2 linked regions of the Ovis aries genome follow. The protein of the gene in region 1 binds, or shares a complex with, the protein of each later gene. Links are inferred from orthologs where the notes say so. Each region holds a gene or a part of one and is shown in the gene's direction. Other genes may lie near its edges.

Evidence for each region.
Region 2: the proteins of NTSR1 (region 1) and NTS are in contact, whole or in part, in a crystal structure (PDB 4BUO), measured with the Rattus norvegicus proteins. The link is inferred for Ovis aries from reciprocal best matches to the Homo sapiens genes NTSR1 and NTS. Residues at the interface, in NP_001102437.1 of Rattus norvegicus: Ser53, Asp54, Leu55, Asp56, Asn58, Phe128, His132, His133, Tyr146, Met208, Val224, Cys225, Thr226, Pro227, Ile238, Arg327, Arg328, Phe331, Cys332, Tyr333, Ile334, Ser335, Asp336, Trp339, Phe344, Tyr347, His348, Tyr351; in NP_001095851.1 of Rattus norvegicus: Arg157, Arg158, Pro159, Tyr160, Ile161, Leu162.

The regions. Positions count from the first base shown.
Region 1 is NC_056066.1:54,354,495-54,358,408, reverse strand, and holds the start of NTSR1 (neurotensin receptor type 1), read left to right. Parts: upstream 1-1,204; 5' UTR 1,205-1,650; coding exon 1,651-2,364; intron 2,365-3,914. UniProt on the Homo sapiens protein: G-protein coupled receptor for the tridecapeptide neurotensin (NTS). Signaling is effected via G proteins that activate a phosphatidylinositol-calcium second messenger system.
Region 2 is NC_056056.1:122,105,146-122,109,059, forward strand, and holds the start of NTS (neurotensin/neuromedin N), read left to right. Parts: upstream 1-1,303; 5' UTR 1,304-1,394; coding exon 1,395-1,467; intron 1,468-3,191; coding exon 3,192-3,253; intron 3,254-3,914. UniProt on the Homo sapiens protein: Neurotensin may play an endocrine or paracrine role in the regulation of fat metabolism. It causes contraction of smooth muscle.

The DNA.
Region 1 (3,914 bases):
AGAACCTATGGGCTCGCCTTCCAGAGAGCAAACCTGGTCTAACTTGGAGAAGTTAAAGCAACTTTTATTTTCTCAGGTATTTCAGCTTCACACCCTCCGAAATCCTCACACAGTCCGCACAAAAGCATGCACTCCACAGGTGTCCACTGAGCGCCTGCTGTTTGCAGTGCCAACAGCATCCAGAACAATGGGGACCCAGGAGCATCAATTTGAACTGTGTACCCATTCCACAGATGACTAAACAGAGGGATGGGGAAGCTAAAACACTCACCCAGATATTAAGCAGCAGGTTGAAACCACTCCTGTTGCCTCTGAGCTCACTGTGGTGGCCTCCAGCAAAGGGACATTTGTGTTTCCTGCGAGGCTACATTTTTAAGCACGTATCTTATGTGCTAAGACTCCGTGGTGGGAACATCAGGGTTCAGTGGAGCGGAGAAGCTCAGGGCCAGCTGGGAACCGGAGACTAAGCACTGAGCCTGAGCTTCTCCCCTCACTGGTCTGAAGTCTGGGCTGCTCGGCCTCACCCCCCTTCCTCAGTGCTCCCTTTCCCTCAGCTCCCTCTGGTATCTGTTCCTGATTCCCAGCCCAGCCAGGTCCCTCTACATCCTGCCAGGCTGGACCCTGAGGATGGAATCTGATGGTCCACGTTCAGGTGGTGATGACAGGCCTGGACCCTACCACCTGCACCCACAACAGCACATGGCCACTCCAGGGAGCTGGGTGCAGGAGACCACCCTGCACAGAGGCAGGCGGTACTTATCCTCTGCTTTCCGATCGCCTCAGTCACCCCCTCCCCCAGTTACTTGTGCTAGAGTAGAGCCCCTGGGAGCCCAGCTTCTGGCATCCCAGGAAGAAAGGGCGTCCCCCCACCTCAGCAGGAAGCCCACTGCTTGGGCAGGCTGGAAGCGACCCGGGGGCAGTTCCCTTGGGGAAGTGGGGCATAGGAAGCTGGGGAGACCCCGGAAAGAGGGGCGAGTTGCCTGAGAAGGGTGCCTGGAAAGAGCCAATATTCCTGGCGCACCCCGCTGGGATCCCAGTTCCCTGGGGCGCTCCTTCCAGTCCAGATGGTCCCTGAGAGTGCGCGGGGGTGATCAGCCAGCCCTGCCCCCTTGCGGGGCGGGGACAGTGGCAGGGGCCGCCTTCTCTCCCCTCCAGCGCCCCCCACGGCTGGGCGCGCCCGTCGCCGCCGGCTCAGTGGAGGCGCAGAGCTCGGGAGGGCGCTGGCGCTGCGGGAGGTGCGCGGAGCGAGGTGCGCGGAGAGCGCGAGCGAGAAGAGAGCGCGCCGGGCAGCCGGGCGTGCGCTCCTCTCGGCTCCACAGGCTTGCCTCGCGCAGCCCAAGCCCCAACCGGCCGGGCGCTCTCCGTGAGAACCGGTTCTGCCGCCCGGGGACCCGAGGAACCGTGGGATCGAAAATTCGGAGAAAGCCGGGAAAGCGCGGAGCCCGGAGGGAAGCTGCAACCCCCGGTGAGTGCGAGCGCCGAGCGCGCCAGGCTGGCACGGACCAGGTTGGCGCTCCCCGGCTCGACGGCGCGCCCCCTCGGCCTCTCACGCCCACCCCTCGGGCTCCCTCTATTCTGTCCCTGCCTGAAACGCACCCCCTCTCCCCCCGGCTTCCAGCAGCGGACCGGGAAAGCGCAGCAGCGCCCGACATGCGTCTCAACAGCTCGGCGCCCGGTCCCTGGGTCGGCCGGACCGACCACCCGTTCACGCAGCTGCCGTCGGTGCTGGAGGGGGTGCTCCTGGCTGCCGGCTTGGGCAATGGCTCTGGCAACCTGTCGGAGTCCGTACCAGCGGCCCCCAGCAGCGACCTGGATGTGAACACGGACATTTACTCCAAGGTGTTGGTGACCATTGTGTACCTGGCGCTCTTCGTGGTGGGCACGGTGGGCAACTCAGTGACTGCCTTCACGCTGGCGCGCAAGAAGTCGCTGCAGAACCTGCAGAGCACGGTGCACTACCACCTGGGCAGCCTCGCCCTGTCCGACCTGCTCATCCTGCTGCTGGCCATGCCTGTGGAGCTGTACAACTTTATCTGGGTGCACCACCCCTGGGCCTTCGGTGACGCCGTGTGCCGCGGCTACTACTTCCTTCGCGATGCCTGCACCTATGCCACTGCCCTCAACGTGGCCAGCCTGAGCGTGGAACGCTACCTGGCCATCTGCCACCCCTTCAAGGCCAAGACCCTCATGTCCCGCAGCCGCACCAAGAAGTTCATCAGCGCCGTCTGGCTGGCCTCCTGCCTCCTGGCTGTGCCTATGCTCTTCACCATGGGCCAGCAGAACCGCAGTGCTGACGGCCAGCACCCAGGCGGCCTGGTATGCACACCCATCGTGGGCACTGCCACAGTCAAGGTCGTCATCCAGGTGAGCAGCCTCTTCCAGGGGGCAGGGGCAGGAGTCAGAGGGCACCAGACCGGGATCTCCCCTGGGAGCAAGGGTCCAAGGCAGACATTCAGGGAAGCCTCAGTGCCTCATCCCAGAAGTAGTTTCCTGTCTGTGTGTCCTCTGGGTTCAGGAAGTTGGAGAAAATTTTGTGTCTCAAAGAAATTTTATTCCTATGAAGCTGGGAAGGAGTGGGGATGGGGGAGGAGCAGGGAACTTGAGAGCAGCCTGACCCCCGGCTTCTTCCCACCTTTTACTCCAGGGCTGCCAGGCCTCAGCCCCACTTATTTCATTCCCTCCTTCCATCAAAGGGGCTGGAAGCCCAGATTACCAACCTCCCTGAAGCCGAGGCTCCGTGGATGGGCCTCAGCCATCCCCAGAGCCCCTGAGGTGTAAGGCAAATGTGTGTGCTGGCGTCCTCTTTCCAGAGGAAGTCCCTCCCATCAGCTTCTCGAAAGGCTTTGTGCTCCCCACAGGTGTGGTCCCTCTCTTCTACAGCAGAACTCCTATCCCAGACTGCTCCCCCAGTGTCTCCTGGCCTGATGCTGTCTTGGGCTGGTTATTTAGTTTAACCTCAGTTTTCCTATCTGTGAAATGGGGCAATCACAGCCCTGGTCTCAGAAGGTACAGGATTCAAGAGAGAAGGTATGGGAGCCCTTGTCTGGCTCCTGGCAGGTAGAAGCAGTCAGAGGCGCTGTCCCTGGTGGTGGTGGTGATGTTGTTTCTGCTGGAAAATCCTAAGGTATTGGGCCTGGTGGCAGATTGGAGGGCCTGGAGTTGGGTGACCAACGCCCTCAGAGGGTCTGGGTGAAGCATGTGGGGACCCAGGTTGGAGACCTCCCTGGGCATTGGCTCAGCCAGGCAGGGGGATTCCGGCCCCAGGGAGATGGCTTCTCAGGCAGGGCCCTGGCCTGGGAGCAGCGTGTCCACCAGAGCAAGTCAGGGAAGAGATACCACCTGGAAGGACATGGTGGCCTCAGGATGTGGGTAGCCATGAAAGGGCGGGGGCTCCCTCCACCCCAGAGTGGGACGGGAGAGGAGGGTCTGGGCTGAGCCAGGTCGGGGTGGGAGTGGCCAGAGAGACTGGCTGTCCTGTCTGGTTGTCCTTTCACGCCCAAGTCATCAACAGCGTCTCAGTAGAACCCATGCTGCTGCCTCTGAGTGTGACAGAGGTGCCGGGCTCCGGGAGCTGGCATGCTTGGGGGTGGGGAACATGCCATCTGCACATCTATCCTGGGCTGCAACTGACCCTCCACAGGCCACTGCCGAGATGGAGCCAGTGGCAGAATTAAGCTCCAGGCTCCTCGCCTGCCCTGGCTCCAGGTGTTCCTGTGCGGAGGGGCCCCCAGCAGCCACGTGTAGCAGGAAGATGAGTCACAGGCGCTGCAGGCAGGAGCAACCAGGGTGCGTGTGGTGAAAGAGTGGGAATTACCTTCCGGCTTCCTCTGGGGTCTTGCAGGCTGTGCTGGGGCTGGGGAGTTGGGAGACAGCAGCCACGACACCTGGCTATGAAGGTGGAGCAGGTCAGTCAT
Region 2 (3,914 bases), on another chromosome or scaffold:
AGAGTAGCCAATACCATAGTCACATGCTATAGGGAATAAATCAACTCCCTGTAGTAATCAAGACTTCTTTTCTAGATTGTTACTATCTGATATGTTTCAGAAGTGAGCAACTCTCAGACCCCTTAACCTCAAATATTCACATTTCTAACAGCACCGTCTTTTCAGCTCACGTCATATATCCTGAAATACTTAATGCAAGAAGAAAACTTCACTCCAAAAAACATTTTGAGCAATTTTCTACTGATAACCCCGAGAGGGAATGAGTGTCATTGTAACTCATGTGAAGATGCTATCTTAGAAACAGGACTGGTGGACAGTGGTTATTTAGAATTGGCTCCTTTCCAGAAGCACAGTCTCATTTTGGGGACTGTCATGGGGAAGAAATCTGATACAATGGTGAGAGACAGTGAGAAGGGGGTTACAGACGGAACAGAATGTGGCAGCAAGAATGAATGTCAAAGGAAATGCAGACAGAAAAAGAGGAAAGTATCAGAAAACAGCAGTCAGTGATACAGCAATACATGCCTGCTGGCACATAAATGATTTATAGATGGATTTTGTAAATATGAAATTCTTTTTCTAAAACATTCAACCATAAGTCAGCATATGTAATTCAATCATCCTTCCAGTTACTTGTATAGATTTTACGATTTGTTAGGAAATAATACTCTTAGAGCTACTAGTCTCCCTTAAAATTCGTTTTCTCTACTTTCTCTAAATTTTCTTGCTTAACCTAGTATTATAACTGATTCTCTGCTTATCTTCCACCTCCTTTCTTCTTCCAGAGCATTGGCAACAGTATATAGCAGAACTATATTATTCCTGAAACCACAAAACACTTGTTCAAAAGTGTGGATTATCAGAAAAGAATCCTAACTCTTTAATAACTTCCAAACCTAAAGAATCACTGACTTTAGGCATTCATCCTGGAGATTTTACTCACACTAGAAATAACAGATCTTATGCTTCACAAAATCAGAATGACAACTTCTTAGAGTCAGAGAATGAGAGGAAATGGGGGAAAGAATAGTACTGGAAGTTCTTTTCCAGTATGCTCTATATGGAATTGCTTTTGAATGACTCCTTTTGTGCGTCATTAATCTGGAGCAGTGGTGGCAATTAGGGAAGATGTCACTGTTCCTGGAGGTTCAGAAGTGGGGGGGAGGTGTGAGGGGACAAAGGAAAAGGGGAGGAGGAAGTGGGGTGGGCTGGAGATGAAGGGTACATCGTGAAGAGATAATCTCTGTGCTCGTGACATCATCTCCTGCATGTATATATACAGGGAATGGCCAAAGCATCGCTCATAGTTCAGTACTTCCAAAGTCAGCTGTGCTAGAGAGCCCCCTTCAGCCTGCCCCTGACGCTTATGAACTTGGCTTGCTAGAAGGCTCAAGATGATGGGAGGAATGAAAATCCAGCTGCTGTGTGTGATGCTCCTGGCTTTCAGCTCCTGGAGTCTGTGCTCAGGTAAGCTCAGCTATATTTCACAACTCCTTGAAATGATATCTTTTTCTGTTTTTGCAATGTGTTGTTACTATGTTAATATATCTGGGGAGAAGAGTTTCTCCCTTATTCTGATTTGCTTTTTAGTGATAGAAACTGTATGTTTTCTTTCTCTGTCTTTATGATTACAAGAATTGAGAATTTTCCTTTCCCTTTTAAAATTTGCTAGGTAGTGAAAGGGATTTCAATAAGACACTTCATGTTCCCATTTGCAATGTAATCACTAGGAAAAAAAATGTAAAACTTAAGCTGATCTAATGAAAAGTACAGAAGTGGTGCCTGTCAAAATGCAAACTCATAATTCAAACTGATTCTATATGAAATGTTTTATATCATCTTCATTCACTCTCTTAAGACATGGTGGCTTCTCCCTTTCAAAAATTATTTTCTTCATAGTGTGTGTATTAAGATAAAATGAATATTGATGTTTAATGAATCAACAGAATAAAGCATTATTTGTAGAAAATGATCTCTAGGAAAATACAAAAAAATGCCAAGCTTTTTTTAAGAATATATTTTAAATAACTTTTTTTCTGTGACAGGTAGACATATTACAAATTTCACTATTTTCTTGCATGTCATTTAAGTTAATACATAATGTAACTAGAATAATATTATTCTTATATTGATAAAATTATTTCCCTATAGTGTATTTTGCATGTATAATTAAGAAGAAGTCATACATTGCTAAATATCTATCAATAGCTTACCTTGAAAATAAATTTCAAATTTTAGAGAGTAATATGAAATATAATGGTTGCAATATGCTCCAATTAATGTTTGAAAAATAATTGAATGATCACATCAAGGTGAAAAAAAAAAACAAGGGATAAGTTTAGCAAAAATCATTTAACTTGTTTTATACTGTAATGTCATAAATATGACACTGAAATGTTTAATTCAAATTCCTGCTCTGATTTTCATTTAGTGTTCCATAACATTATTTCTATTACCTTATGTATTTTCCAAGATTTTCTTCTCTGTGAAATATTTATTAGTGGAAGCTGAAAGGGTGTTCTAAAAAATATCAGAAGTCCATTTTCAACACTCTTGTACATGTATTGGTGGACATCTTTACTTTTGCTTAAATGATTTTTTAATAGCCTGTGATAAAATTGCCAAGTATACATAATTCTAAATCCTTGCTAATATAGAGAAACAAATCTTTCCAAGTGTGTTTTGTAAAATAGCATCTCAAATAAAATAAATCTCAGTGTCTTTCTTATTCCAAAATTATCAATAAGTAACTTCCTTTGGTTTTGTCTTTAAAAATCATCTTGTACTTACCTTTTCATTATGTTGCTTTGAAAATATCAATATGTATATACTCTATATATATGTAAACTACTGCCAGTAAAAATTAACCAGCATATTTGATGACATCTGTGTAGTATAATCAGGTTTTATTATCCTGAGATTCAGAGATTTAACAACTCCAAATCATCAAGAGCTCTCTTGGCATAAAATCATGTGCCTATTTTCATAAAAGTGCTTCTATTGTTGTGTTCTGTTAGCCTAAAATAAAACTATAATTGTTTTTTTTGTAAATATTACTATAAAGAGAATAAATACATAGCAAAGACAATAAACTTCTAAGACAAAGTTTTTTGAGATTAATCTTAAGTATTCAAGTTATAATTATATGATATGTGGTTATATAGTAAACATGTGCTTTTGATTTTACTCAGATTCAGAAGAGGAAATGAAAGCGTTAGAAACAGATTTATTGACCAATATGCATACATCAAAGGTAACTTTTTCTTTCTTTCTAAACCAAAGCCTGAAAACATATGAACTCTTGTTATAAACATGGTGTCCTCTTCCTATAGTAATAACTTCCCATTGAGACTGAAAAGCTCATTGGGAAGCATTTCCTTTTGGTGGAAACTGTTCCTTAAGTTCAAAGGACTTAAGGGTATCGATGTGGCAGGGACAGAAGTTTAGTGATATCAATCACTACATTGCAAATTTAATTAAGTAGTCACATATTATTTGTGTGGAAATCCTCTCTCCATTTCAATCACATTATATATGATGAAAGATACACTGACTTCAAGTTAAAGACATAAATGAAAATTAAGTGACATTTTTGCCTTTTGTTTTGCTACTGGGGAGAGTGAAATGGAGTTCCTAAATTAAGAATGAAAGTTTGTGAAATCCATGAAGAAATGAGACAGAAAGTAAAGAGCAAAGACCGGCAGACAGAAACCTGGAGATCTAAGCCTGCAGCTGTGACTTGTGAACAATTCGATCTTCAGCAAGGGGGCTAGTTAACAATGCTTGCCTTTGTATCCTCGTTTTCAAATGTTGGGTTGGGAGTTGATGATCTCCTAGTTGTCATTGATTAGTTGCTAAGGTGTGTCCAATTCTTTTGCGACCCTTAGGCTGTAGCCTGCCAGGCTCTTCTGTCC